Linked DNA regions of Bombyx mori. The protein of the gene in region 1 purifies or fractionates together with the protein of each later gene. This does not show direct contact. Links are inferred from orthologs where the notes say so. Each region holds a gene or a part of one and is shown in the gene's direction. Other genes may lie near its edges.

Region 1 (4,062 bases):
ATTGTTGAGTATTAATTTTTTGTAGAATTTACACTTTAATAGGAAGTATGTATTATATATATATTGTTATTTGCAAAGATGACGTGATTTAGATGTGTGAAATCTAAGACAATTTCGTGCTTCAATTTGCCAAGTAAACAATATGACGATTTTTAAAAGTTGCTACACTGATTTTATAAACTTGTCGTTTGACAACTCAGTGACGGCAAATCATAAACATATGGCGTAGTACAGTGCCATCTGCCAATTTCTAGCATGCTAAATGTTATCATCGTTTCGTATGTTGCCATCTCGCTCGCACTTGCGTATATGCCGGAAAGGTATAAAAGCTTTATGTCGGCGATAAAACGTTAGCATGCTAGCTATGCTGTTTTGTGTAACCTGTTACCTCTCAATTACAACCTATTTTAATTGTGTTGCTGACTCTAAAGTCCGTAACACAGTACCGCAACATACCTCAAGGTAGGTGCGCTGCACCATTTGAATCACTCTCACTTGAGAGTGATTCAAATTTAAAACGACCCTCCTTGTGACTTCCTCTCTAAAAACACTTATTTATTACAAATTTACCGAATTTACAATAGTTGTTTACTCGCTACGGAATAAAACAATTTTACTTAAATAGTTCCGAAGAGAGATTTTGTCAGTAACCTTTTTCCCGAAATATCTAAACAGAATGTCTAAATATGTTTTGATGACACATTTTATTAAGAGGTATTTATGATTTGTGTCATGAACAATAGATTCCGACCGAAAAATGGTGTCAGAGTTTTCGGAGTAGTGCTCCATAATGAATTTAAATATATATAGATAATACTTTTGGGGCATCGACTTTCTTGGGATCCTATAAAATATTTTTTAATTATTATTTTTGTATGTTTTAAGCGGGGTAGCATGATAAAATAAGAAATTTTATATAAGCAATCATATTAAATCGATATCAAAGTTAATAAATAATGTACAACCCAAGACAGACGGCTGAGCTGACTTACAGTGACATTTGGTGCGCTAAGCATGTCGGATTTTCGGCCTCATTAGATTTTTACGTATATTCATATTTCATTCTATGTACGCACTGAAATACTGTTATATTGTTTTACTGCGAGTTACAGTGCTGAGTAAGAACGAGATAGATATAATATGTTTAGGTGTGTGCCATCAAAATGGGTGCTACTTATTTAAGCAATTGTGCGTATAGAGGAAAACAATATGTCGCGTCTCTATTATATAGGTCTATGGGTTTTTTACTTCAGTGGTTTTTAGGGCCATTTGACAGTTCATAAATTATGTTAATGTCAAAATTGACAAAAATGTGACATTGAAGTTGTTCACATACTGCTACATTTTGTACATGAAAAATACACCGAATTTAATTTTATTGTATTTGCTGTATAATACCTATAAAGAAATTAACAAAATAAAAACCGGTGGTTCCATAAACCAAAAATGGCCCGAGACAGAAGTCCTGAACGGCGGAGGTCAAGATCACGAGATAGAAGAGATCGGGATCGTTACGATGAACGCGAATCGTATCGTGAAAAAGTAAAGCGCAGGGACAGGTCTAAAAGCCCTAAAAAAGATGCGGATAAAGCTCGAAGCCCTTCTAGAAAAGATCGCGATCGTTCTAGGAGTCCACTACGTAAAGAACGCGGTCGTTCGCGCAGCCCTAAGAAACGTGACGGCAAAGACAAAGATCGACGTTACGAAGACAAGGAAAAGAGTAGATCAAAAAAAGAAGATGAAATGGAGGAAGACACTGCAGACATGAAGAAAGAGGATGAATCCATAGATAAAAAACCAATTAAAAAAGAGCCTTTGTCCTTAGAAGAACTACTTGCTAAGAAAAAGGCTGAGGAAGAAGCCCGCAGTAAGCCAGTATTTCTTACCAAAGAGCAACGAGCACAGATAGCTTTGGAGAAACGGCGTCAAGAAGTAGAAGCTATAAGAGCTAATACTGATAAGCCTCAAGTCACTATTGATTTAACAGGTCCGTCAAGACGGGAAGAAGATAAAAGGCACAGAGAAGAACGTGAAAAAGATAGAGAAAAGGAACGTCGAGAGGAACGGGAAAGGAAATATGAAGAGAGGAAAGCCTATTCAGATCGTCGAGAACCAAAAAAAGATAATGAAGAGACATCTAAAACAAAAGATAAAGAAAGAGAAGAAGAGGCTATTAAAGCTCGTTACTTAGGTATAGTAAAGAAAAAGCGTAGAGTAAGACGGCTGAATGACAGGAAATTTGTTTTTGACTGGGATGCGTCAGAAGATACATCAAATGATTATAATGTTTTGTACAAAGAAAGACATCAAGTACAATTCTTTGGTCGTGGACACATTGCTGGTATAGATATCAAGTCTCAAAAGAAAGACCATAGCAAATTCTATGGGAATCTTTTAGAAAAGCGCAGAACTGAGTTAGAGAAAGAACAAGAAAAACTACGCTTGAAGAAAGTGAAGAAGAAGGAAGACAAGCAAAAGTGGGATGATAGACACTGGTCTGAGAAAGATGTGGATGAGATGACAGAGCGTGATTGGAGGATATTCAGGGAAGACTACAATATTACCTTAAAAGGAGGTAAAATTCCTAACCCTATACGTTCTTGGAAGGAAGCTCCCTTGCATACTGACATTATGGACATAATCAACAAAGTTGGATATAAGAGCCCAACTCCTATTCAAAGGCAGGCTATTCCAATTGGATTACAGAACCGTGACATTATTGGTGTTGCTGAAACTGGTTCCGGTAAAACATTGGCATTCCTTATACCATTACTTACATGGATTCAATCTCTGCCAAAGAGTGAACGTATGGAAGATGCTGACCAAGGACCTTATGCTATAATTTTAGCTCCAACACGTGAATTGGCTCAACAAATCGAAGAAGAAACTAATAAATTTGGTATTCCTCTTGGTATCACATCAGTAGTGGTTGTTGGAGGTTTATCTCGTGAAGAACAAGGTTTTAAGCTGAGGTTAGGCTGTGAGATTGTCATTGCCACTCCCGGTCGTCTTATTGATGTCTTAGACAACAGATATTTAGTACTAAACCGTTGTACCTATGTTGTTCTTGATGAAGCTGATCGGATGATTGATATGGGTTTTGAACCGGATGTTCAAAAAATCCTGGAATACATGCCTGTATCGAACATAAAACCTGATAGTGATGCAGCTGAAGATGCTTCAGTATTGCTTGCCAATTATAACACAAAAAAGAAATACCGACAAACTGTGATGTTTACGGCAACAATGCCTCCGGCTGTAGAGCGGCTGGCTAGAAGTTATCTCAGAAGACCGGCTATTGTATATATTGGATCTGTAGGAAAACCAGTAGACAGAACTGAACAAATAGTCTACATGATAGGCGAGAATGAAAAACGTAGAAAACTTACAGAGATTTTGCAGCGTGGTGTCGAACCACCCATTATTATTTTTGTTAACCAGAAAAAAGGTGCAGATGTTCTTGCAAAGGGACTTGAAAAACTTGGTTTCAATGCCTGTACGCTGCATGGTGGTAAAGGCCAAGAACAACGTGACTTTGCACTTGCCAGTCTCAAAGGGGGCGCTAAAGATATCCTCGTGGCGACAGACGTGGCAGGTCGTGGTATTGACATTAAAGATGTCAGTATGGTCATTAATTACGATATGGCGAAGACTATTGAAGACTACACTCATCGTATCGGCCGTACCGGTCGTGCAGGAAAAACTGGTAAAGCTATGTCCTTTGTTACAAAAGAAGACTCCGCATTGTTCTATGATCTGAAGCAGGTTTTGTTGGCAAGTTCCGTATCTACGTGTCCACCGGAACTTATGAACCACCCTGAGGCTCAACATAAGCCAGGGACAGTCGTAACAAAGAAGAGACGTGAAGAGATGATATTCGCTTGACAATCCTAGTTATAGTCTAAAATAATAAGCAATAGGTAAATTACCATCATGGTCACCAGCAAGTTATAAAGTCTATAGTTACTTTAGTTCTAACACATTTTAAACATCCACTTTTAGAATCAAAAGAATGTAATTTTAACTAAAATTCGTATATATTTCGAGAAATAAAAACAATAA
Region 2 (4,204 bases), on another chromosome or scaffold:
GACGGGGGACACATCAAAAGAAAAACAAAATTGTTATTTTTATTTATTTCCGAGCATTTTAATATTTATCTACCTTTTAAACCTTCTCTGGACCTCCACAAGTAATTCAAGACCAAAATTAGCCAAATCGGTACAGCCGTTCTCGAGTTTTAGCAAGACTAACGAACAGCAATTCATTTTTATATATAGAGATTATTGAGGGGCATATGTAACAGTACACCAACTTTAGAGATGTGATTTTGCCTTTTTATTTTTAGGTCCGTGATGGGAGGTCGCGTTGCTTTCCCCATGAAAAATAGCAAAAATGCATTTTTTTAAATCCAATCAAGGTATGCTGATGATTATATTGTATTGTGTACCCGTGTCTTTTGTACCCAGGTAAGGAGAAGCTTACGGCAGTTGGGTGAGCCTGTATGCCTGTTCGGAGAGGGACCGGCCGAGAGGAGAGTCAGATTAAGGGATCTGTTAAGCTAGTAAGTCAAGTGTGATATATATATGTGAGCCCTTTTATAATTTGTTTATCTCGATTTGCTAATGGAGTTTCTGGACTGTAATGGTATAATGGGGGTGTCATGGGTAATCTGAAGCAACTGACTGGTTTTCTGGGGCAGCTGGGTTAGTGCTCAGGAGGTCTCTGCTGATCGCAAGCAAAAAAGACGCAATTTCCTGATGTTGAATTGTGAATAAATTCCTATTCACCATATCATGGTGATCAGCATTTGGTAATAAAGTGTAATACTAAAACAAATTGATAAATATAAAAATGAATTAATTGTTGAATTTTAAAGATTTAACAAAGCTTTTCTAGTCTTCATTTGGCTTTATATTTTTTTATTGCTTAGATGGGTGGACGAGCTCACAGCCCACCTGGTGTTAAGTGTTTACTGGAGCCCATAGACATCCACAACGTAAATGTCGCCACCCACCTTGAGATATAAGTTCTAAGGTCTCAGTATAGTTACAACGGCTGCCCCGCCCTTCAAACCGAAACGCTTTACTGCTTCACGACAGAAATAGGCAGGGCGGTGGTACCTACCCGCGCGGACTCACAAGAGGTCCTACCACCAGTAATTACGCAAATTATAATTTTGCGGGTTTTATTTTTATTACACGAATTTAATTATTTCATTTTTATTTTCAGTCTCGGCGAAGATGCTATCAATAAGAAGCTAGAAGAGGAAGAAGCACGCCTGGAAAGAGACAGAGGTAGAGAAGGTACCTGGTACCACGAAGGTCCCCCGACCTTGAGGCAAGCGAGGATTTGGATAGCCAGGTACTCCCTGCCTAACGCCAAAAAAAGGTCAGTTTCAATTAATTCGACTCTACCCGACTGTGATATCTTGGCTGTGTCATCATTTTCATTACTTCCGGAACCTCCTTGCTGTCCCCTCTAAGGTTAGGTAACGAAGGGTAAAAGGCTGTTTGGTTCAGGCGACATTTTTGCAATATTACAGGAGATCTATTTAAAGTTTTAAAAATTTGCCAAAATAATATTTTAACAAAACAAACTTCTTCAGCTATTCGAATGGAGTAAACTTAATCTATATATTAATACGTGAAGCAAAAACTTTGTATCCCTTTTTACGAAAAATTTGGGGATGGAGGAGCATGAAATTTCTCACACTTATAGAGAATTTAGAGAAGGAGTGCACAATGCTAATATTTTTTTTAAATACTGCATAAAAGAAAACATTACATACCCTACATACCATGTATTTGACGCACACACGCATGCATACTATTTATTGTCAAACTTTTGTTCTTGACGTCTGTTGTCAAATTGAGATTAAATATTGTTTGTCTTTATTAATATTTTTTATAGTGTAGTCTTGGCGAAATTTGTGATTATAGAAGTATAAAATACAATCATAATAGTATACAAACTTATAAATTCAATTAATTATAGTCGAATTTCGACTACTGGGTGACCGCTAGTTCAATTAAAAATATCGAAATGTTGATGCTGATTCGAAATATAAAACGGACCTTTGATTACAAAGATAAATGTCTCTTAAACTAAAGAGCCTTACACCACTCGATATATATAGAAATATTGTGGATTCATTCTGGTGTCTTAAATTATGATGGGGGGTGCGCAGGGCCGGATTTAAACTTAATGCCGCGCTCCTGGTTATCGGAAAAAAAATCCGCCCTAATACTGGAATTTTACTTAAACTTATAGTTAATATATTTTATTTAAAAAAATTAAAATATCTAATTTATTGCAGAAACTTTATCATATTTTATGTCATATATTCCAAAAATGTAAATAAATATTTTTGTTTTTTTTTCTAACAATCTTAAATTTTGCACTAAAGGGTGACTAATAATAATAATATAATTAGAAATCACGACTCAAAATATTAAAAAAATATAATTAGAACGATACAAAATACAATTTTCAACAATTATTGATTTTAAATACTAATGACAAAATGTGGGTAACTAAGTTGACACGCGAATGTACAACGTCCGTCTATCCCTGGTGCTGAGATCAGAAAGAGGCCGTGAACGAGGCAATATGTTAGTGGTGTCCTCAACTCCCCTCTTCAACTCCGACCAGTCTGAAGTCGCTGCTGTATTACGTCAGCAGGCCACGCCCACTTCCGTCTTCTTTCCTTAGAATATATTACATAAAAAAAAAACTAATTAAATTTCTTTAATTACAGAAAATAGAAGATCGATTATTATTAAAAAATCTCAAGGAAATAAATTGATTAAATCAATTTTGATTATTAATTTTTACCAAAAGTGCCAAAGTTATAATTCTATTCATGAGTGAATTGAATTTCTTGAATTATCAATAAAAAAGAAAATTATTAATTAATTATATTGAGCAATCTCGACAAGAAAAAAAAATTTTTTTCACTTTCAAAAATTACCACCCTGGGCACTTTCCCCGATCGCCCCTAGTGTAAATCCACCACCACTGGGGGGCGCGACATGTCTATGGACTCGTGTAAGTTACTCGATTATTGTTACAGGCTAAACAAAGCCCGCGAGGAACTCAAGTTGGCTGGCAGTGTGCGCGCCGCCGCTAAGCAGGAGTCGCAACGGAAGGCGTCTGCCTTTAGCATTTACTGCAGCCAGGTGAGGCCCAGGTCGTGGGGGATAGAGGGTACCTAAGTTCCTGCTACACCCCCCCCCACTGTCTCCCTCCCAAGTGAACGCACTTCGTTGGACGGTCGTCGCTGTGGACCCTCAGAAGTTGCAGTGGTGGGGGCCAGTGGGGTGGGTAATATAGAACTAGGATCAAAATGGCCGACTATGACCCTGTGATGTTACGTATCCTAGTAAATTAGCGAAACGCATTACTGCTTCACGGCAGAAATAGGCAAGGTGGTGGTACCTACCCGCGCGGACTCACAAGAGGTCCTACCGCCATTCCTTAGGAACCATGGTGCTGCAACGGATATCCTGCAAAAACGGAACGTCTTAGTTTTTACCGGCTAGGCCCACGTGATGTCGCAGTCACAAGGTTCTCGTGTCAGGGCTGTCTCGTTCCAAACCTGAGCACGTGGCCACCTCGTGGCGGCCCTAAGCGTGCGGGGCAGCTCAGCACATAAATCTGTGGTGCTCTTCATCAGATCGGGGACACGAGGCCGCTGAGCTTCTGCAGGTTCAGCCAGGACAGCAAGATGCTGATCACTTCGAGCTGGTGAGGGTCTTTGCCGATATTTTTCTTCTTTTTTTTTACCTAAGCTGATAGATAGCCTTGAGAGGCTATTTCAGCGTAACTTTAATCAAATCAAATCTACCGCCAATTCATAAAAAGTAGTCCCCGTCTTGAGAAGAACTGGCAAGAAACTCAGCGGGCATGCATTTTTTTTTTTTTTTTAAACTAGTAGGTGAGCTCACGGAGCTCAAACCTGACGACGTTGCTAACACGAACCCCAGCAAGAGCCGTGCTTCGCAGAATCTACCACCGGATCGGAAACGCATCAATGCAAACGCAAAATGTATTAATTGTTAACTAATTCTTCTTCTTTGTCTCCATCTTATCCCCCTAGGTGGGGTTGGCACAGCGAATTTTCCTATTCCATTCTCTTCTATCAGCCGTCATCTCAACACTGTTTCCTCTCTCTCTCATATCGTCATTCACACACTCCATCCATGTCTTCTTCGGTCGACCTCTTCCCCCTCTACGTTGCACTACCATTTCCATACATCTCCTAGTCACATGCATCTTCTCTCCATGCCTCAC
Region 3 (4,833 bases), on another chromosome or scaffold:
GAAAAAATATACCTACTTGATTAAGTCAAACTATATTAGAGACGTAACAGAAATGTAATAGGTAATAACAATACATATTTTTTTTTGTCTTATAAAATTCAGTATATAATTAAACTTTTCTCGGATGTGTTCTTATCTCAAATTCTGCATAAGACAAAACAAATTTCTTATTTCTCAGTTAACTTGAACATCGTCCGATCCGAACCACACCAGACTTTTTTATAAAAAATTAAGATGATGGAATAAAAAATACCATAAGGTTTTGCATTATGGTCTTTCCTCTGAGTTTTAATCACTGAATTCCTGTAAAATATAGTGCCTTGTCATATATTATTACTACTAAAGGGATTAACTATGAATATAATTTTAAAATCTTAATTATCATAACAAGATTAAACATACCAGTATACTTATATACTATGTTCGAAAGCATTCGCATTGATTACAGGGTTCTAATTGGGTCTTCGCCTTAATCTAGATTATCTATCACCTATCGTGCTCATCCCGTTGACCTGGTTTCTTAATATTGAGGGGGGAACAGAACGGGTTGTGTTGGACTCTGTACCTGACGGCCCCTACGGGAGATGAACGGAAGCTTCGCGCCCGCGCCGCCCACTCCGCCTTCTTCGCTGAGGACCTGAAGAGAGATCCCACTCCCTTTCGCACTCCTCAGCCTCATGGAACACCAGAATCAGTTCGCAAAGCCTCGCACGAACTCTTGTCCTTTAACATAAGATCAACGACAGTCGCAAGGAGATGTCCCTCCCCAGCACCACGATTAGATCTCACCGCGTGTTCTCCCGACGCGGGCACGCTTTGAGATGCGCTTCCGTTTTAAGATTCGAGTGGTGAGGTGGGAGTCTCAGAAGTCCGTACGATCAATATATTTCATCAAATTTGAGTTTCGTCGAAGTTTTTCATATACGCTCTGCTGACTTATTCTCTGTTCTATTATGAGTAGCTCCGTTAAGCGTTACAGAAATATAAATTAATGTACCTACCCTCCTGTCTTATGTTTTAGAGAAATTACTTTATAAAAAGCGTGATTCTGTGCTCATGTAGAAAAACAAATCCTAAGATAGCAGACAGATTTAAAATAACAAATTAATTAACTTAATAATAATATGCCGAAAATTAAACATGATATATTTATAAACTTAGTTTTTCAAATGAATTGAGTTATAAAGATAGTCGTAGGTAGCCATGCTGAAAAAATAAACAAATAGAACAAGTGAAGGACACATCACTTAGTTATCTATCTATCTATCTATCTCTTAGGCTTATGGCGTTTCCTTTTAGATTTCGCCAATGTCAAGTGTATTTAATACTCTGCTTTCTATAGCGGGCTTCGTGAACGAGCAAGGTCACAGATATTCACTAAGAATTAAGTGAGTAGCTAAGAATATTTGATGACAGGATCTCTGTTGATTTACCTAAAACAAATAAGACGCACACAATATATATTATACAGGGGTTAGTTCGATAACAGACAGACACTTAGTTACTGTTAAATACAATCGTATTGGGTTATGGTGCTTTTAATGTTTAAAACATTGTTTTACATAGTTGAGAACAAAAACATTATTTCAAACCTAAGAAAATTATTAAAAAATCTATTCACTTCAGTCTGCATTGTACCTACCTTTCACGTTCAGAAACATTCAAATCGGCACGCGTCGAGATTTTGACATTGACGTTTGACACTCACGAATGTAAACACATTGATTGATTGATTGTATGTATTTTTATCATACCATTAATTCATATTTCATTGTTTCGGGAGCATAGTTGGATATGGATCAAGAAACAGCGAAAAAGCTGCTAGTGGAAGGGGGCACGTTTGTATTCTTGAGAGTCCCTTCAGAAACCCAGTTTGGCATCGATATGCAGTGCTGGAACACGGAGGAAGATTTTCGTGGCGTTAAAATGATTCCTCCAGGCTTACATTATGTTCATTACTCTGCTGTCAGTAAAGGTACTGGCGATATTGCACCTAGGTAAGTGCGTTTTATATATACTTTAAAAAAACAATCCTAGTACTATACAAGGAATTCAAGTTTGGAGGTTGTTTTTGGAATCTTATCACTTAATTTTAATATGGTAATTCGATATCAGATTTACACTCAGAATTTACATATTCGAAGCACAAAATATATGTATACAGCTTATTAAGTTTCTTCGTGTATTGTTATTGAACTTATATGAGACTGATATCAATATTATTGTTACTTGCATACCTAAATAAATTACTTTTCTTGATTAAATTCCAGATCTGGCTTCATGCATTACTTTCACAAAAAAGAATTTCTTGTGAAAATGTGGGACAAAAAAACTGAAGATTTGAGCAAGGAAGAGATCAGTGATGAGAGCATCCAACGTTTGAAAGATAATTTATTTAATTTGGACCGACATCTTGCTCCATATCCATATGAAATATGGCAGAAGTGGAAGTTACTGTCTTCACAGATCACTGGTTGGTGTCTTCAATTAAAGAAATACTTGCCCTACAAATCTTGAATGAACTTAGTCTTGTTGAAGTTGGTGGTAGTTCACATTATGAGCCTGGTCATATTGGCATAGTGGAGCATATTGAGACTGGTCACTGTCCTCGCCGAACCCGTCGCTTGTGATGAAGGGCTTAATGAGTAAAATTAACCCATAGACACAGTCTACTGAGTTTCTCACCGGATCTTCTCAGGGGGTTGCGTTTCCGATACGGTGGTAGATTCTGCGAAGCACTGCTATTGCTAGAGGCAGTGTTAGCAACACTCCTGGTTTGAGCCCCGTAAACTTAGGCTTGTATCAGAAAAAACAATTCATACAAGAAACTAAAATATTGTGTTATTCCAGAATCTTATATCAATAATCTGTACTAAGTTTAATTTCTATTGTCAGCTGAACTAGCAGCAAAATTGGCACCAGAAAGTGGAATGATAAGAGCATCAGTTGAGCTTTTATCGATGACTGATGCAGAAAGACCAAGAGGAGTCAAGTCTTCATCTAGTTCAATAAGTCAGGAGAATGAAAAATCTCCCACTAAAGAGGATTTCAGTGAAGAACAGATTGCCGGACACTCAAGTGCTAAGAGAGCTAAAAGAATCACAAGGGAAGAGAAAGAAAAGTCATTGTTACCAGATTTGAAACCAGTTCCAGGTAAATTAATGAAACAAAGATAAATGTAAATAATATTTTTCCCCTATATATCTACTAAAATAAAACTACACGCCTAATTAATTACTGATTGTAGGACCTGTGAGGCTGCATGGATAGGTTATCACCAGCCTGCATATTTCTGCCGTGAAGCAGTAATGTGTTTCGGTTTGACTATACCTTAGAACTTATATCTCAAGGTGGGTGGCGGCATTTATGTTGTATATGCCTATGTGCTCCAGTAACCACTTAACACCATGTGGGCCGTGAGCCTGTCGTCTGTCCACCCATGTAAGCAATAAAAAATATAAAAAAAAATAAAAGAATTCTAAAATGTGAATCTTTACAGGAGCTGCTATGAGATTCACAGAAATACCTCAAGATAAATATCCACCGGATGCAACACCAGAGGAGATCACGAAACATTACTTAGATCAGTCATACTCATTAGAGCTCATGATAGCACAGCATAATGAGTAAGTATCTATTTTTATTAACTGTTAGTATTTTAAGAGAAATTTGAGGGTATCTTAATATAAAATTTTGTTGACTACATACTACATTCATATGTTGATTACATATACAGTTGAATGTCTATGATGGATATTTTAAGCATTGTTCAGTGCCGAAGTTATCAGGAAGCTAAAGTCAAGTCTCGACTCTTGACATGATTAAATGCACAAAAGCCAAAATCTAGAATTCTATATACGTGTTTTATTTTTCAGACCTCTACACATCATAGGAGAACTGCAATTCGCATATTTGTGCTTTTTGATTGGGCACTCCCTAGAGGCTTTTGAGCACTGGAAGAGCCTCGTCATACTCATATGTTCGTGTGACGAGGCCATACACAAATACAGAAGTGTTTTCTTTCACTTCATTAGGACTATTGAGGTGCAAATCGAAGAGATGCCCGAAGATTTCTTAGCCGATATAGTGATGAATAAAAATTTAGTATACAAGAAACTCCGTGAGTTTTTCCGCACGGCTTACGTAAGCAAAGTCGACGGCAGACTTTTGACGATGATTGAACGCTTCAAAGATAACCTGACCGACAAATTGCAATGGGATTTCACTGGTCTAGACGCTGACGATGAAGACGAGAGGCCGGTCGTAGTGAAACTCGACGATGGAACTCAATAGATTATATTTAATGGCTCCTCTTCACAATCGGCCATGATAGGCCAACAAACAATCGTCCATCATCGCCGCCATGATGGGGCAACTCTCCACACAATCGTGAACGTTTATTTACTGACTGTCTACTGATATGTTAAGACGTCTAGGTATCGATGATGGAAATCGAGGAGATCGCGGCTGCGGCAATATTTTTAGTTCTATATAGTCTATATAGTCATTTAGTTAATGTGCGCGAAAAAAGAATCGTGAAAACTTTTTTTTCTTAAATCCCTCTTGTAGACAGACGGAGTCGCCCATGGACTTCAGCAATGCAAGATGAAAGAAGATAAGGTGGTGGGTGGTGGTTATCAATCGGACCAAAACAAGGTCCACGCAACCATAGTTTTAAAGTGGACACAATTGACACACATTCGAGACAACTACATCCTGACTAATCGGCGATGGTGTGGACGCTCACACAATCATGGGCCATCATTCTTTTGATCTACCGCCACAACGCCGATTGCGCACGATCATACGCGATGATGGCCGATCACACACATT
Region 4 (4,959 bases), on another chromosome or scaffold:
TTTATTAGTGTTGTTAGATTTCAGCAGCGCCTTTAACTTTGTTGACTTCGATGTTCTGCTCGAAATACTCAAATCAAACAATATCTCCTCGTCTGCTATTAACTGGTTTGATAGTTACCTTCGGGGGCGCTCGCAATGTGTCCGTCTTGACGAGACTTTCTCGGATTGGCAGAACGTCAGTGCGGGCGTTCCCCAGGGTGGTGTTCTTTCTCCTCTTCTGTTTTCTGTGTTTATAAACTCTGTCACTAGGCTTATATCTTCTAAATTCCACCTCTACGCAGACGATCTCCAGCTATATCGCCACTTCTCAGAGCCTGACGTTGAATCGGCTATTGCTGCGATGAACAGTGATCTGAAGTCTATCACTGAATGGGCAAAAGCCTACGGTCTGCACATTAATCCGGGAAAATCACAGGCTATCATTATAGGGGGTAAACAATTGCGCAGTAGACTCAGCGATCCTATACTCCCCCCAATTTATTTGGATGGGACTCAAATAACTCTAACCGATTCAGTTAAAAACCTGGGTGTATGGATCGACATCTTTCGTGGAGTTCTCACGTTGCTGAGATTAGTAGGAAGGTGCACTTCGCCTTGCACTCGTTGAGATGTCTGCAGGGCTTCTTACCTCAGCATACAAAAATATCTCTCGTCCAAGCTCTCATTCTACCCATAATTGATTACGCCGATGCCTGCTACTTGGATGCCACTGAGGAGCTCTCAAACAAGCTTGAGAGGATGCAAAATCTATGTATCCGTTTTATATACAATCTCAGAAAATTCGATCATGTTTCACATTTTCGCAAAGAACTTAAATGGCTCCCTATACGCCTTCGTAGGAATACTCGAATATTATGTCTCCTATTCAATATCCTACATAAGCCCACTTCTCCCTTATATTTACGTGAGCGATTCTCTTTCATTCGTTCTCCTGATGCTCCCTGCAGGTCCAACCAACGTTCTGTTTTGTTATTCCCTTCTCACAAAACCAATTTCTATTCTCACTCCTTTACTGTGCACGCGGTCAGACTGTGGAATTCGTTGCCGGCTGACATCCGAGTTTGCAAGTCTGTTTCTGTTTTTAAATACAAGGTCAAACAATTTTATCTCTCATCAACCGAGTGATCATGGTTCTATACTCTTCGTATATACGAGTGTTACTGTGACTTATAATATTTTGTACTCAAGTTTAACAATATTTGGTATGTGTAAGTGCATTACTATAATTCTCATGTTGTATTTGTTGTTTTAGTTATGTATTATTTGTTCTACACACACTTATCACTTTTTATTATTATTCTCATTATCCTCTCGCAGGTTTGCTGGAAGAGATTTCTTAAAGAAATAAGCAGTGCCTTTGTACATAATTTTCCTATTACTCTGTACTATGTCTTTTTTTCTGTGTGTACATAAATAAATAAAATAAATAAATAAGTTATTCCTTCACCGTGGAAGTCAATCCAGAATATTAGTTGAGTATGTATTTCATTAGAAAAATTGGTACCCACCTGAGATTCGAACACCGATGCATCACTCAACACGAATGCACCGAACGTCTTATCCTTTAGGCCCCGACGACTTTTTTATCAAGGTATGTTGCTTAACACTCAGCTAAGCAGTTTCCCTGGCGAAAGTCGACGAAATGCGGTTTGAAGTGCTTGATCTTTTTTTTTGGACTGGGGGCCGAACTTTCTAGGAATACCCCGCCCCTAGGGGCGCATGGGGTATGGGAGTGAACCGCGGGCCTTCTTTTTGTTTTTTTTTAACGCTGTAGAATCCGTACGGTTACCCGGTTGAGGGGGCTTACTGACCGCTACGACTCCACGAAACCCACAATACCGCGCCGAAAGTCCGCCTTCGCCGGTACCGCGGGCCTAAAGGATAGAATTTAGGGCCATACCCACTACACAACTCCCCTGCACTCTCGCCCAATCGTCTGATACCCTTCCAGGTCAGAACCCGGGTGAGGTAAAGGGGTTATCGCGGTCAACACTACAGACAGCGCAGCTCCCCCGAGGACGTCCGGTCGACGGAGCCTTTGAGACGGAATGCTCTACAGCCGTCAGCCGTCTGGGTACGATAGCCCGTCAGGCCACCCACACAGTGCGACTGGAGTCCCGGAATACCCCGCTGGACTAGAACCAGGCTGTCGGGTCGGGATGCGATACATCGCCAACCGGTTGCTCTTTTTTCACGTTGATTGTGTAATTCTTCGGTAGCGCACTACAGTGCTTCAGCTGAAGCAACATCTATTTTTTTCTAATCCAAAAGTGTGACAGTTTTTTTTCGCAAAATAACTCCCGAGTGCTATTTAAACAGTTTGTACAGACAGTTGTTTGTTTGTTAAATAAATACATATACATAAATATATACATATAAAAATGTGTATATATAAATAAATATCAATTAGATGACTCTGCTAACTCTTAGCAGAGTCATCTAATTGATTCTAAGTACTCGAAACCTTGTCTTAAACTCTGGCCGACCTTATTTTAAGTGGGAGCGCATTCCATAGAAGAATAGATTGAATAGTGAAGGAAGAATGTAAAAAGTCCGAACTACCTGCGAACTAACAGCGAAGAAGAAGATTGTGAGATGAACGAAGATTTTGGCTGTAGTCAAACCCTAAGTATTCAGGTGGATTTGGGAAGTGCAACAAAGAGTAAAGAGTACTGAGAGCACGCAAGCTACGGCGTTGTCGAATGGGGAGCAATTTGAGTTGGGAGCGATGAGAAGATACATGATCGTATTTCCGAAGATTATAAATAAATCGAATGCAGTTATTGAGAAGCCGGTTAAGTTTATTGAGTAGATCTGCATTCAGGTCAAAGTAGCACACATCACCATAGTCGATCATGGGGAAGATCAAAGTTTAAACGAGCATTGTCTCTTGGTTTCGGGCGGAAGGATATTGTTCAGGCGGTAAAGCATACGGAGTGTAAGTGTAACTCACTGACACACGGAGATGACCTGGGCTCGCCAACTCAGGCTGGAGTCAATAAGTAGGCCTAGGTCCTTTACAACCGAACACCAGTTGATGGTTAAGCCAGCATATATTATTTGATAATAATATAAGACGACTGTGATATAAAAACTTTATTTAGTGTTTGAGCCATCATATATATTAACGGTAAGTCTCAATTGTTATTGGTTTTAATGTTTTTTGATAATTTAAAAATACATATTAAAATTGTTATGTTTGGGGTTAATGGGGTCACCTGAGCTACAAATAACAATGAAAGGGAGGTCAATTGGGACGACAATAAGTTGAATGGGAACGACTTAAGTATAAATACGTACAGGATTGTAGGGTTGTCTATGTAGTTATAACAATCTTTTTTAAACGTGTTGGTAAGAATCTCATTTATTCATGATGTTTTTGTCTAAAACTTTTATTTAATTATTAGTGCAATTATATTTATATTATCAGTTACGTATTGTTTTCTATTTTTAGATATGCCTCGCGTGTATGTATCAAAGAGTGCAAGCTTTATAAGAGATATGATCCCTTAATATTAAAAACAGCAATAGAAGACTATGAATTTGGGAATAAGTCTTTAGTTGAAATAGCTAAGCAATTTAATATAAGTAAGTCGGTTTTGCACAGATATATAACAATTAAATCTCAAAGTGGACAAAAATGTCTAAGTAAAGAAGAAGAAAAATACAGTTACACACATATTAAACAGTTAATAAACCACCATTATTACATATCTAAACCCGAAGAAACACTAAATAGACAAAATAAAACAAATCACACAACTTCACCCCTCGCGTTCCCGCCAAAAAGTCCTAAAACCAAACATCGTAGTCATAGACATAGATTATACACTTAAATATTCGAGTCATTGATACACATAATAAAATTAATAATTGAGATTTGAGACCATACCTTGATAGACATAAAAACATTGATTTCATTGATAGCGTACCTAACACACGGCAACAGACACACAATCACAATTAAGAAGAGGTACCAACCGTGTACCAACCTAGTTGAATCTGATTCACTCAATTTGAGTTCACCTATTCAAGAAAAGGCGCCCAAAATATTATTAGGGTGAGGATGAGTAAAACTTTGCTTAGTGTTCAATGATAATTTAGGAATGTGCCTATAGTTTAAAGTCTTTGTTAGATAAACCCAAATATTTTTTAATGTTTTTAATTAAAATTTGTTCCTTTTAGTTACTTTACCAAAATGTCAAAGCGTCCCGCTTCCGAAGCATTAATAGACGAAGTAAAAAAGGCCACGAAGGATGGCAAGAAACATTCCTTGGATTCCGACGAAGAAGATAGTGGTGCTGAAGAAGAGAAGAATAATGTTATGAACTCCAATGATATTGAAGGTGAAGAGGAAGGAACTGGTGGAATGGAAGGTGAAGTGAGTAGAATAAGTCAAAAACCTAATCAGAATACTCAAATTGTTGTGAGAATTAAAAAATGTTTCTTTTTCCAAACAATACTTAAAATGCTTTTGAGGATAATTCAGCTAATTTAATATTAACAACTTAATTAATACTTATAACTATCAAATAAAATATTAATTTCATTAATTAGTACTATTTTATAGATTACAATAACACCTTTTAACATGAAAGAAGAACTTGAAGAAGGGCATTTTGATACACAAGGACATTACCATTGGAAAAAAGAAAAAGAAATTCGTGATGGATGGCTTGATAACATTGACTGGGTTAAAGTAAAAGGTAGACCAGAGGATAAATATAAAATTCATCATAGCGATGAAAAAGGACTTGGTGATGAATCTAGTAGTGAAGATGAACAAGAACAACAATTTGATTTGATACATAACTATAAAGAAATATTACAACATATGAAACCTAAAGAAACAATTGCCAAAGCTTTACAGAGACTTGGTAAGTTTTATTCTGGTACCAGTTATAATTATGTTGTAATAAGTTTTTGATCTGACTAGTGCTCTTAAACGGTTGTTACCAA
Region 5 (3,088 bases), on another chromosome or scaffold:
GCTGATATCATTCCAAATTTGGCCCGATACTGCTTAAAGGACGACCACCACCTTCTGGCCTTACGCTATATAAAATGAGGCCGAATTAAAAAAATAAAACATTACATTTGAAGTCGTCGTGGCCTAAAGGATAAGACGTCCGGTGCATTTGTATTTAGCAATGCACCGGTGTTCGAATCCCGCAGGCGGGTACCAATGTTTGTAACAAAATACGTATTTAATAAATGTTCACGATTGACTTCCACGGTGAAGGAATAACATCGTGTAATAAAAAATCAAACCCGCAAAATTGTAATTTGCGTAATTACTGGTGGTAGGACCTTTTGTGAGTCCGCGCGGGTAGGTATCACTGCCCCGCCTATTTCTGCCGTGAAGCAGTAATGCGTTTCGGTTTGAAGGGTGAGGCAGCCGTTGTAACTATACTGAAACCTTAGAACTCATATCTCAAGGTCGGAGGCGCCTCCAGTAACCACTTAACACCGGGTGGGCTGTGAGCTCGTCTACCCATCTAAGCAATAAAAAAAAACCTTCGTACGTTATTCACCCGATAGTGAGCGGTCACCGAAGCTCTTAGACCTAAATAATGATAGAGCTCAATTAGCTCTCTACAGACGAGTAGAGTACAAGCAATGTTAAAAAAAAATTTTTGAACGTCCCTTTTTGTAAATTATGCGCATCCGAATTTGATATGTGTCTCTCGTGAATGAATTCATTCTATTTATAGATAAACCAGATTATTTGTCAACGATCCTTAACATATTGACTGGGCAAAGTGCACTTGAACATTTACGTCATTATTCATTACTCTGTTCGCCGTCTAGCTAGGAATTCGAATTCGAATATTTCCTTATTTATAATAAACTTCTAGTTTTCCTCCGTCGACTGTTTTATCGTTAAAATTTGGAAAGCAACAATACAAAAAAAAAAAAACACGCGTTTTTTTAACACGTGATCTTTATAATAAATAGCCTTAAATATGCAACGCTTAGTAAAACATGACGCGTTCGCAATTGACTTCCTTGCAACGTTATACACTTTCACTTTCCTTTGTTTAACCTTTTTGCGTACGGAATTATACAGTAAGGCCATATTTTATTTATTTATTTTATAAGCAACAGAAGATACTATTGAAAAACGAATGGTTCTCCGCTAACTGATTCTCAATAGGTTTTAAAAAAAAGCGTCTAAAATTCCTTATTTTTTAAACGGATTGTCTCGATGTATGTGTTCGTTACTAGTTAAAGCAGAGCAGAAATATATAGCTGTCTCTCTCGCACGACATAGTTACGTAAATCCCAATGCTCTGCTTTTTTTGTTTTATGAGACCTTTTGGGGGAATACGATCTTAGAAAAACATAATAAAATACAAAAGGTGTCTGCTTTTGGTCTCTAATAAGCCAAACGTCCTAAGTGCCCACCTACTAATTCTTCAAAAAACAGCCCATAGACCACCACCTATAATAATAATAAGGGTCTAATTCTGAGAATTAATTTCGTGGGTGAAACGAAAAAGTGAAAAGTTTTGATTGCCTAAAATCTTAATCTCGATTACATTGCACCGGTATTCTACTCGTAATAAGTACATAATTATGATTAAAAAAAAAGCGAAAGATAAAATACCAACGCGATTAAAATAAAAATTATAGTTGTATGAAATAATAAATTAAATTGTTTAACGCTACTAAAAGGGTACTTGGTTGTTAAGTGCCGCCGCGAATTTATGTATTATAGTAAAACGCCAGATGTTAGAAATCGTGACTTTTAATCATTTGTATCCTTCGTAAATTTAATCTTAGAAATGTTTGAATAGACCCTCTGTTTCGTGTACAATTAATTAATACAACAGAAAAAAAATATCATCGCCATTTTTTTTTTCATTACCTTTTTGCTGGTGGCCTAGATAGCTAGGTAGCTAGCTAACCCAGCTTTATTTTTTATTTTTTTGATTGTCTTTGTATGCAGACGAGCATACGGCCCACCCGATGGTAAGTGGTTACCGTCGCTCATGGACGTCAGTAATGCCAGGGACAGAGCCAAGACGCTGCCTGCCACACAGTTACACCCAGACGGGTAGGTAGGTGAGCTCACGGGCTCAACCTGAGAGAACTTGCTAACACCAGTTCTAGCAAGACCCGTGCTTCACAGAATCTACCACCGAGTCGAAATCGCGATTCACTGAGAAGATCCTACGAGAAACTCAGTGGGTTGCTTGTATGGGGATTAATAATAATAATAATAATAAAAGCAGTCTTGCTGGACAATGCCCGTATAGCTCGCCGGTTTCTCGCCCAACAGTCCCTAAAGCTCCGGCCGATCGTTGCCCACCTCACCGGAGTGTGTCCTGCCGTCTTCCCAGGCGAGGCAATGCTTAATACACATATAAATAATAATAATAAAGCCTTTTTATTTCCAGTAAATTTACATAACTTAAAATCTATTAATGTGTGTGTGTTTTTTTATCACTTGCTTAATATAATTAGTAGTTATGTTTACTTAATATTATGTAGTTATATATGGGGGGATTACTATTGTTTTTCTTTATTGTTTCCAACGAAATTTTATGATCTCAGGTAAAAATCGATCCCGACTTGGGGGACGCTTGGGCGTATTTCTATAAATTCGAGTTACTTCACGGCAACGAACAGCAACAGGAGGACGTGAAGTCGCGTTGTCGGGCCGCCGAGCCGCACCACGGCGAGTACTGGTGCAAGGTTTCTAAGGACATCGTTAACTGGTGTTTCAGCACCGATCAGATACTGCTTCTCGTCGCTAAAAACCTGCCAGTTCCTTCTTAAAGACTTTAAATCCTTAAATACGTTTAGTTTTATGTATGTTAGCATGTAACGGAATCTTTGAACTTACTGGTGGTAGGACCTCTTGTTAGTCCGCACGGGTACGACCACCCTGCCTATTTCTGCCGTGAAGCAGTAATGCGATTCGGCTTGAAGGGTGGGGCAGCCGTTGTAACTATACTGAGACCTTAGAACTCATGTCTCAAGGTGGGTAGCGCATTTACGTTATGGATGTCTATGGGCTCCAGTAACCACTTGACACCAGGTGGGCTGTGATCGCGTCCATCTACGCAATA
Region 6 (3,475 bases), on another chromosome or scaffold:
CAGCTGGAACAGCAGCCCTAACGGCAAAGGAAGGCAAACGATCCCATTCCATACAAATATGACCTAACTTAGGCAAACGTTTTCAACCGCATACGTACCTACAAATTTGAGTTTACTTTACTTTATCGAGAACGTTAAAAAACTCGCACTAAGCACATGGGTTGGAATCGCGACCCACTGTGAAGACCCAACGAGAAACTCGGTGATCTCCGTCTATGGGTGAATTTGCTAGTGATCGACGAGTTCGATAAGGAGGGTAGCCGGTGATTGAGAGGCCTAAAGCACGGAGAGTGAATCCGGGGGATCTCACAAGACATGTTTCGAGCGACGGTGGCTTTGCGTTGCCGCGTCGCGTTCGGATAAGAGAACATCTCCTAATGGTTCAGCTGCTGTGGAGACTTACCGGCTCGAACGCACTGACAAACAGACAAAAATCGATTTTAAGAGTTCCTTAAACAATAAAATATACTGAAATCGCTTTCATTTATTTTCCTTTTCTTTAATACGGTAATGAAATAAAGAAATTTAATTGAATATGAAGTTCGTTAACATAAAATAAGCATGGCATATACAAAATTGCTGATTATATGATCATGACTTTGTATTTTAAAATTTCCTTAAGCGCCTTATTCACGATCCATCTTGCTGTACGTCCCGCCAAGGCCATGCACGATGCACGATGCATTTAGCGCTTTATTCACGATCCGTCACGGCTGTACGTCAGCTCAAGACCGCAGTGCTGGATGTATCAAGCGCGAACAGAATAAATCGAACGAATTAAATGAGGGTTTTAAGTTAAAATGCCAGCTGCTTTATCAAAACGCCAAAAATGGGAGTCCTTCTGATGTTGTCAGCAGCAGCAGAAGAGAGGCAAAAAATAGCAAGAGGTTTTGGATGATTTTTTTAAACGTGCAGAGTATACTCAAATAATTAATATCATTTTTTACGCACGCTATCAATCCTTGCAGCTTCCCCTAAAATGGGCCTAAAAATTGTAATACGTTTATTATTTTTGGTTTATTCATATAGTCTGCGCTTGAGACATTCCACAAAAATGTGGAACTTATAACTTTCAATAAATCTTGAAAGGGTTTCACGATCCATTTTGACGTGCAGTCTCCTTTCGAAACTCTTCGTTAACTTTAATTTCAGTATTACCACCGTCTTTTTACGATTTCATCAATGTCAGTGTCGAGTTAAAAACTGACATTTAGTGGCCATAATTGTTTGTTGAAATAATACTTTTTGGCGGGAACGCGAGGAGTGAAGTTGTGTGATTTGTTTTATTTTGTCTATTTATTTAGTGTTTCTTCAGGTTGAAATGTGTAATAACGGTGGTTTATTAACTGTGTATTATCTGTGAAAGTGTACAAATGTGGGAAAATGAAACAAAGCCGCTGGATGTAACTTCTCGGGATCCTCCAAAAAGTCCACTGAAAAGATCTCAGTAAATGACCACCATTTTACTGAGATTATATTATATTTCATCCCATATCATCTCATTTCATTTTATTTCATCCCAGTCGATTAATGTCCCAAATTAATCATTTTCATTTCACTCCATATTATCATTTTTCATAAAATTAAGAATATAAATTAAAATAAGACATGACTTACAAGTCTTAGTTACCAGGTCACAAAATTCCTTACAAAAAATTGTTGAATTAAAAAGCAGAGTCACCATAGACAAAATAAAGCGTCGACTTAGCGTGTGTACGATAGTTTTGCTGTAATTGTAATCTTTTTCACTCAATTTCTCAGTTCACAAGCCCATAAAATAATACAAAATGTAAGTATTAATATGATTTACGTAGTTTTAACAATATATTTAACATATTATCTGCTTAGCCGGTAATGGTCAACAATAACTCTAATGTTAACCTTATTATAGGACGTCAACAACTAAGCCACGCTCTGAAATGACCCTAGAAGAGCTATCTAAAATCGAAGAGGAAGAGTTTAGTACCGGACCTCTTTCCGTGCTCACGCAGTCAGTAAAGAACAACACACAAGTTCTGATAAATTGCCGTAACAATAAGAAACTCCTGGGTAGAGTGAAGGCTTTCGACCGGCATTGTAACATGGTATTGGAGAATGTTAAGGAAATGTGGACTGAGGTACCGAGAACTGGCAAAGGAAAGAAGGTAAACAGATGTTACTGTATTTCAGTTCAATTGATTCAGAAATTTGAGGTTATGTATTGGAAATAGGAACCACTCCCAAGCGCTCATGTATAAAAGTGCTACAGCTCCAACTTGAAAAGTACACAATAAGACATGATGTCGCGTATTTTAGGCCAATATTAGCGGAGATAAAATACAAACCACTGGAAATTCCCAAGATGACAATTATGTGGATATGAAACATTCTGTGTTAGCTCATTTCATTAAAACTCTTCAAATTCAAAATACGTATAACTTCTGGTTTTATTTTCAGGGCAAAGCTGTAAACAAGGACAAATTCATCTCCAAAATGTTCCTCCGCGGTGATTCTGTGATCTTAGTACTAAGGAATCCTCTTGCTACAGCTGCAGGGAAGTAATGCAGTAATTAGTTTAAGTATTAATGAATAAAATATTCAGGAAATGAATAGCTTTACTGGTTCATTCCTTAAACTGTAATAATACTTTTACAAAATTGGAAACTGTGTTAGTTCTATGATTCTGCAACTATATGTAATAAATAAACAAACTCGATATTTTAATATATTGAAATTGTATCAAGTTCACATATTGTAAGATAAAGCTAAAAACGATCAGTTATTATAATGATGCATTAAAAGAGTCTCACCAGTATTGTTGTTAATATTAGCATAAAATAACTTCATATTAGTGGCTGAACATACCAAAATTGAAAAAAAGATACTTACTTTTGGTGCAAGTAGTAACTAACAATTTTGTAAAATATAGATGCTTTAACATTTTTAAAGAAACATGGCAAAATTACAATGGTCAAGAAGTCCACAAACCTGTCAATAAGTTTATAATTTCTATAATAAACCAAAGTGTAAAAGTGTGTTTTTAATATGATTTTTTTCATAGCCCCTTATTAATTTGTGCAAATTAGATCTGATGTACATCATGGGATTAAGCTGTGCAGTCCAGTCCAATATTTTGTTAACATGTTGGTTTCATGACAGACACTATGAGTCCACAGCATACTTTCCCCTAGGGTAAAAAAATGTAGTGTTTTTTCAAAAATATTCTCAAGAAATTACTCAAAAGTAATGAGTGAGGTATGGAAACAGTGACTAAGTATTGTTTTCTGAGATATTTCAAATGGCAGACAGTGTCGTCATAGACCTAAGTAAATGGTTGTTACAGGGTGTCCACCATTCCACTGGACTAAACATGATTTCTAGTCTGGTGTTCAATGTGGTAATAAAATTAGAACTGAATATATGCAAAGGTCTTCACAATAAGGGAAGAACTTCATGGAACTTTCAAAAATGAAACTATAATAAAATTACTGTTATT
Region 7 (4,953 bases), on another chromosome or scaffold:
GAACTGTATCCAAGCTAATTTGTTCGCACGTTAAACGTTAAGGTGTAGCTTGTGTTGCTTAACAGACACAGAAACAAAGGAATTTTGTTTTCACTCTCCCGATTTTATCACTTATGATGAAAACTGGATTTTTATTGTTAATCGTAAGTGGTTGCTTAGACCCTGTTTCAGCACATAGACAATGTCCCAAATGAAAGCGTACCCCTAAAAAAGTCATGGTCACAATATACCACAGCTCCTTATCAAATGACACCAGCACTATTAATGTGCACTGTGAGCTGGACATAATGGTGGAGAAGCCCAAGTAGAAGTCGTCGTGGCCTAACGGATAAGACGTCCGATGCATTTGTGTTGAGCGATGCACCGGTGTTCGAATCTCAGGCGGGTACCAATTTTTCTAATGAAATACGTACTCAACAAATGTTCACGATTAACTTCCACGGTGAAGGAATAACATCGTGTAATAAAAAATGAAACTATAATTTGCGTAATTACTGGTGGTAGGACCTCTTGTGAGTCCGTGCGGGTGGGTACCACCACTCTGCCTATTTCTGCCGTGAAGCAGTAATGCGTTTCGGTTTGAAGGGTAGGGGAACTTATTCTCAAGGTTGGTGGCGCATTTACGTTGTGGATGTCTATGGGCTCCAGTAACCACTTAACACCAGGTGGGTTGTGAGCTCGTCCACACATCTAAGCAATAATAAAAAAAAGAAGCTCGCAAATCCCCGGCCAGACTCTGTCAATCGCACGTCCCCGCTGCTCCTCCACGACAACGCTCGACCTCATACGACACAACCGATGGTCTCGAAGCCACAAAGCTGTCTAAAATAGGGTATTGTATTAGGAAAAAGGACTTGTAATCTTCTATATACTAAACCTTCTTAAGTAAACAGGTACCTAATGCTTATAAAAACTGAATTGAGAGATACCTGTATCTCACTAACATTTTCAAGACAAGCTTTCCTAAATACAAGTTCCGAATAATAGCAACAGGACCGTCGGCCTACTGAGCAATTTCATCCGCCACCGCCACATTTACCACCGCCCTGCCCATTTCTGCTGTGAAGCAGATAAGCGTTTCTCATCGTTCATTCATTATACTGTGAACACTGGGAATTAGAACTCATTTTTTACATGGTTCATGTCTATCGGCTCCAGTAACAACTTAATGTAATTAACTTAATTTGGTCGGTAGCTTCACAGGTTTTAAACTCCGAGAAGGCTTAATTCAAGCCTTATACTAAAAATAATTGGAAAAACTAAATTAATGCTACCACAAATTCGGTACCTATTGTATCTATCTGTTTTTGAAATGTTTAGTTTATTACAAATATCTGGTTATTGGCGGGAGCGCGAGGAGTGAAGTTATGTGATTTGTTTAATTTTGTCTATTTAGTGTTTCTTCAGGTTTAAATGCGTAATAACGGTGGTTTATTTACTGTTTAGTATTTGTGAAAATGCACAAATGTAAGAAAATAAAACAAAGCCGCTGGACGTAACTTCTCGGGATCCTCCAAAAAGTCTACTGAAAAAGTCTTAGTAAATGACCACCATTTCACTGAGATTATATTTCATCCCATATCATCTCATCTTATCTCATTTCATTTCATGCCATGTTTCATATTAATCAACTTCATTTCATTTCACTTCTATCATTTTTCTTATAAAACATTAAATAAATTTATAAAAGATCAGGCGGTATGGTATGACATCTTTGCCTTTCCAGTTGAAAAAGTAAAACTACTACTATATATCTGTCAATGCTGTCACTGGCATTTCTTGTTCCAGGTCTGTTTTTTGTTCCCTATGAAACGTGTTTAACTGCATAATAGAAATAGCTTTATAAGTTTGTTCATTTGTAAGACACGAATAGAAATAGGACCACAAATATATCCAGACTATATTTTGCAAAATAAAATGGCGCACTATTTCACTACGTAGTATCTTTAATAATAATTGTCTGTGATTATTGAAACAAACAGAACACTTGTCGAGAATACGATTTTTTAATATTTTATAGTTTTTATTTTGTACCCATAATTTTGTTATAAGAGACTATTTAAGAAACAAGAATGGGTTCAAAAAAGCATAAGAAAGAAGCAAAGAAAAAGAAGCATAAGAGTAGGTCCCGTTCGCCACTCGAAGGTGAAGAACGTGAACGAAAAAGGCATAGGAAACATAAAGATCGCAAGCGAGAGCGCTCCCCTGACGGTCAGTAACAACACTTTCGATAAAGATAACAAACGCCAGCCTTTGATGATGATCTTATGTGCCAAAAAACCACGTTTCAAAACTATGAAATACGGATTCACATCCTAACTTGTATATCCAAATAAAACCGTTTGTTTGATTTAAATAATGAATTGCATAGGTCATCAACAGAACTGGCTGTTATTAATTATGACAAGATAATGGCACACTGTCTGCTCGTTATTTCAGACCCGGTGGCACTGGAGCTCAGCCACCGCGTCCCTCGCTCCGTCATTAAGAGGTAGGTATTTAATAAAACGATGGAAGGTTCCTGATTTGAGTAAAGTTGTTTTTGCTGCAGAAAATAATACAGGAAACAAAATGAACTACAATGTACTAACAATTTATCACCAATAATTATGTTGTAAAGTACCAATATCATACTTCTACGTATAATTATTTATTCTATAGTGCCATAAATCACAAAATGTGTATCAATTCATTCTAAATGAAACTTCCTCTAGAAACAAACAATAAAAGAGCCTGTAAAATAAGACAAACATTTATCGGAAATCTTTGAAAACAATGACAACCACCAGCACATACTTAATATTAACAATAACAACAATTTAAAAAAAAAACCTAGTCTAGCTTTGAAGTATGCTTTTATCACAGCACAGCTAAGATTCAACATCATGTCTTATGTCGCAGTTACACTGTGGCACCTGCGGACTGTAGTAAATCATATCAAATCAGCTAAACTTGTCTGTCCAAATACAACATTACAACTATCAACTGAAATGTAGGAAAATGGCCATTGTACTTTACTACTAATTAAGTTTTGCAAGGACTATTCTTTAAAACAAAAATAAATGATGAACCCAGTGAATGAACATGGTGCCACTAAAAAAACCATTAAAATGTTATATTTTTATTCTCTGTAAGTAGTGTATTTAATTAAAGATTGTGTGACCTGTGAAATCCACATTCTCTTTTACACTGAGTCTGGTTGCAGGCTTTCTTCTTGGTTTGTGGGTTGTTGAAATAGAAATTCACTAAAACAACAAGTAATTATTTTTAGCTAGGAATTGTCCTTATTGTCCTGCAGTATTCATTGGAATAGAATTTTTGATTCTGTTCTGTGCTTAGTACTTCATACTGCAGTTTTATTGTTTATTTTTACTGTCGCTATATCTATGTTTGTTTCTTTTTTCTATTTGTTATGACCAACTCAAATTCACATCCTCTTTACTTCTTAATCAAAAGGTTGCATTAATTTATAAAGGCAAACCAGCCAGCCTACACATCACTAATGTGTTTAAAATCAGCTGAACATTGATTACAGCTACAACATTAGAAGTAAAGTTTTACTTCAACACAGTAGAATTAATACAATATAGTATACACATAGTATAGTATAGTCTACAGATAGTATATATATATATATATATATATTATACACAAAACATAGATAAATAAATAAAAAACATACATACATACATAGATACAAAACAATATAATTAACAGACTTTTATCTGTTTGTATACACTTATATCTGCCACCACGAAATGATTTTTACGCTGAAATAATACAAAACGAATGTTGTTACATTATAATCTGTCCACAATAAGAAATTGAGATTTATAAATTAGGATTAAACACCAGATATCTGTTTGTTACAGTTCAAGAAGTGCCTGTCGACTCGCATCAGCTGAAGGATGACGAGACTAACCATTCTCGAGGAGACAGTGAAGATCGGGATCGCCGCATGCGTGCTTTGCATCGGCCAGAGAAAAATGAATCTGAAGGGTAATAAACTAAACTGAACATTGACTGAAGTGACTACTTCTTGAACTCTTGTACTTATTTATGACCTTGCAATGATTAGTAACATCTTCTTTTCTGTATCTATCTAATCATACACAATTTGATGGGTAACATAAGTATTATTATAATTATAATTCCACTGGGTAGGTTTGTTAGCTTATCTATCTTGAAATTACATTACGAACTATTTTTATTACTTTTTATAGGGACAAGAGTGTTGAGTATGAACGTGAGAAAACCAAGTCTCCAGTACAAACACAGAGTGGTGGAGCACAAGAGAGCTTGTCCATTGAAGAGACCAATCGTCTACGAGCTAAACTTGGACTTAAACCACTTGAAGTCAATGAGAAACCTGCTGGTTTGTAATGTAGTTTTATCGCTTTTGTAATGTTTTTTTTTTATTGTGTTAATATATTGTATTTTATTTAATGTACAGACTATATCACGCATAACGAATTTGATGTGTTATCTTTGCCAACAATAAATAAACAAAATAAAATTCAAATTTTTTGCCATTTTATATGTTTTTAGTCATTATTTTACACAAATTGTTCAGGTTAATATTTTCATAAGATAAATTTAATAGGTATATTATAGCAAAATTACCCACTGCTTACAAACTTTTAAATAGATTGATCTGTATCTGTCTATGTAGTGGAATTAATTACAAGTGTCAAGCCCCAACAAATAAATAATTTCACTTAGGAACTTTAAATTCTTTTTTATTGCGTTGATAAATTAACGTATTATATTAAAGTCATTAACAAATCAACATCAAGGTACATATAGCTTTTATTAATATTGTGTTCACAGTTGTCTTCCGACCGCGATCACTAACTAAAACTTGCTGTTTAAGTGTGAGTTCTACTATGGTTTTAATCCATTCACAGATGATGGTAAATTCAAAGATGACCTTGGCGAGTTCTACCATAAGCC

The links.
Region 2: the proteins of probable ATP-dependent RNA helicase DDX23 (region 1) and U4/U6 small nuclear ribonucleoprotein Prp4 purify together in Homo sapiens (affinity purification with mass spectrometry; 4 studies listed by BioGRID and IntAct, counting the BioPlex papers as one, with this or other methods). This does not show direct contact. The link is inferred for Bombyx mori from reciprocal best matches to the Homo sapiens genes DDX23 and PRPF4.
Region 3: the proteins of probable ATP-dependent RNA helicase DDX23 (region 1) and protein AAR2 homolog purify together in Homo sapiens (affinity purification with mass spectrometry; 3 studies listed by BioGRID and IntAct, counting the BioPlex papers as one, with this or other methods). This does not show direct contact. The link is inferred for Bombyx mori from reciprocal best matches to the Homo sapiens genes DDX23 and AAR2.
Region 4: the proteins of probable ATP-dependent RNA helicase DDX23 (region 1) and CD2 antigen cytoplasmic tail-binding protein 2 homolog purify together in Homo sapiens (affinity purification with mass spectrometry; 6 studies listed by BioGRID and IntAct, counting the BioPlex papers as one, with this or other methods). This does not show direct contact. The link is inferred for Bombyx mori from reciprocal best matches to the Homo sapiens genes DDX23 and CD2BP2.
Region 5: the proteins of probable ATP-dependent RNA helicase DDX23 (region 1) and pre-mRNA-processing factor 6 purify together in Homo sapiens (affinity purification with mass spectrometry; 3 studies listed by BioGRID and IntAct, counting the BioPlex papers as one, with this or other methods). This does not show direct contact. The link is inferred for Bombyx mori from reciprocal best matches to the Homo sapiens genes DDX23 and PRPF6.
Region 6: the proteins of probable ATP-dependent RNA helicase DDX23 (region 1) and small nuclear ribonucleoprotein sm d2 purify together in Homo sapiens (affinity purification with mass spectrometry; 3 studies listed by BioGRID and IntAct, counting the BioPlex papers as one, with this or other methods). This does not show direct contact. The link is inferred for Bombyx mori from reciprocal best matches to the Homo sapiens genes DDX23 and SNRPD2.
Region 7: the proteins of probable ATP-dependent RNA helicase DDX23 (region 1) and U4/U6.U5 tri-snRNP-associated protein 1 purify together in Homo sapiens (affinity purification with mass spectrometry; 3 studies listed by BioGRID and IntAct, counting the BioPlex papers as one, with this or other methods). This does not show direct contact. The link is inferred for Bombyx mori from reciprocal best matches to the Homo sapiens genes DDX23 and SART1.

The regions. Positions count from the first base shown.
Region 1 is NC_085121.1:15,456,154-15,460,215, forward strand, and holds the start of probable ATP-dependent RNA helicase DDX23, read left to right. Parts: upstream 1-1,262; 5' UTR 1,263-1,446; coding exon 1,447-3,885; 3' UTR 3,886-4,062. UniProt on the Homo sapiens protein: Involved in pre-mRNA splicing and its phosphorylated form (by SRPK2) is required for spliceosomal B complex formation.
Region 2 is NC_085130.1:18,539,942-18,544,145, reverse strand, and holds part of U4/U6 small nuclear ribonucleoprotein Prp4, read left to right. Parts: intron 1-378; coding exon 379-473; intron 474-1,141; coding exon 1,142-1,300; intron 1,301-2,355; exon of another isoform or gene 2,356-2,984; coding exon 2,985-3,090; exon of another isoform or gene 3,091-3,587; coding exon 3,588-3,658; exon of another isoform or gene 3,659-4,204. UniProt on the Homo sapiens protein: Plays a role in pre-mRNA splicing as component of the U4/U6-U5 tri-snRNP complex that is involved in spliceosome assembly, and as component of the precatalytic spliceosome (spliceosome B complex).
Region 3 is NC_085115.1:3,919,135-3,923,967, reverse strand, and holds the start of protein AAR2 homolog, read left to right. Parts: upstream 1-1,691; 5' UTR 1,692-1,794; coding exon 1,795-1,997; intron 1,998-2,270; coding exon 2,271-2,473; intron 2,474-2,895; coding exon 2,896-3,153; intron 3,154-3,499; coding exon 3,500-3,626; intron 3,627-3,875; coding exon 3,876-4,293; 3' UTR 4,294-4,833. UniProt on the Homo sapiens protein: Component of the U5 snRNP complex that is required for spliceosome assembly and for pre-mRNA splicing.
Region 4 is NC_085111.1:10,749,447-10,754,405, reverse strand, and holds the start of CD2 antigen cytoplasmic tail-binding protein 2 homolog, read left to right. Parts: upstream 1-1,678; 5' UTR 1,679-3,130; intron 3,131-3,454; 5' UTR 3,455-3,588; intron 3,589-3,814; exon of another isoform or gene 3,815-4,060; intron 4,061-4,185; 5' UTR 4,186-4,198; coding exon 4,199-4,381; intron 4,382-4,570; coding exon 4,571-4,877; intron 4,878-4,959. UniProt on the Homo sapiens protein: Involved in pre-mRNA splicing as component of the U5 snRNP complex that is involved in spliceosome assembly.
Region 5 is NC_085109.1:9,953,205-9,956,292, forward strand, and holds part of pre-mRNA-processing factor 6, read left to right. Parts: intron 1-2,570; coding exon 2,571-2,795; 3' UTR 2,796-3,088. UniProt on the Homo sapiens protein: Involved in pre-mRNA splicing as component of the U4/U6-U5 tri-snRNP complex, one of the building blocks of the spliceosome.
Region 6 is NC_085132.1:3,761,915-3,765,389, reverse strand, and holds small nuclear ribonucleoprotein sm d2, read left to right. Parts: upstream 1-1,711; 5' UTR 1,712-1,787; coding exon 1,788-1,789; intron 1,790-1,891; coding exon 1,892-2,144; intron 2,145-2,436; coding exon 2,437-2,541; 3' UTR 2,542-2,792; downstream 2,793-3,475. UniProt on the Homo sapiens protein: Plays a role in pre-mRNA splicing as a core component of the spliceosomal U1, U2, U4 and U5 small nuclear ribonucleoproteins (snRNPs), the building blocks of the spliceosome.
Region 7 is NC_085118.1:17,264,435-17,269,387, forward strand, and holds the start of U4/U6.U5 tri-snRNP-associated protein 1, read left to right. Parts: upstream 1-1,745; 5' UTR 1,746-2,072; coding exon 2,073-2,211; intron 2,212-2,439; exon of another isoform or gene 2,440-2,491; intron 2,492-3,872; coding exon 3,873-3,999; intron 4,000-4,223; coding exon 4,224-4,375; intron 4,376-4,907; coding exon 4,908-4,953. UniProt on the Homo sapiens protein: Plays a role in mRNA splicing as a component of the U4/U6-U5 tri-snRNP, one of the building blocks of the spliceosome. May also bind to DNA.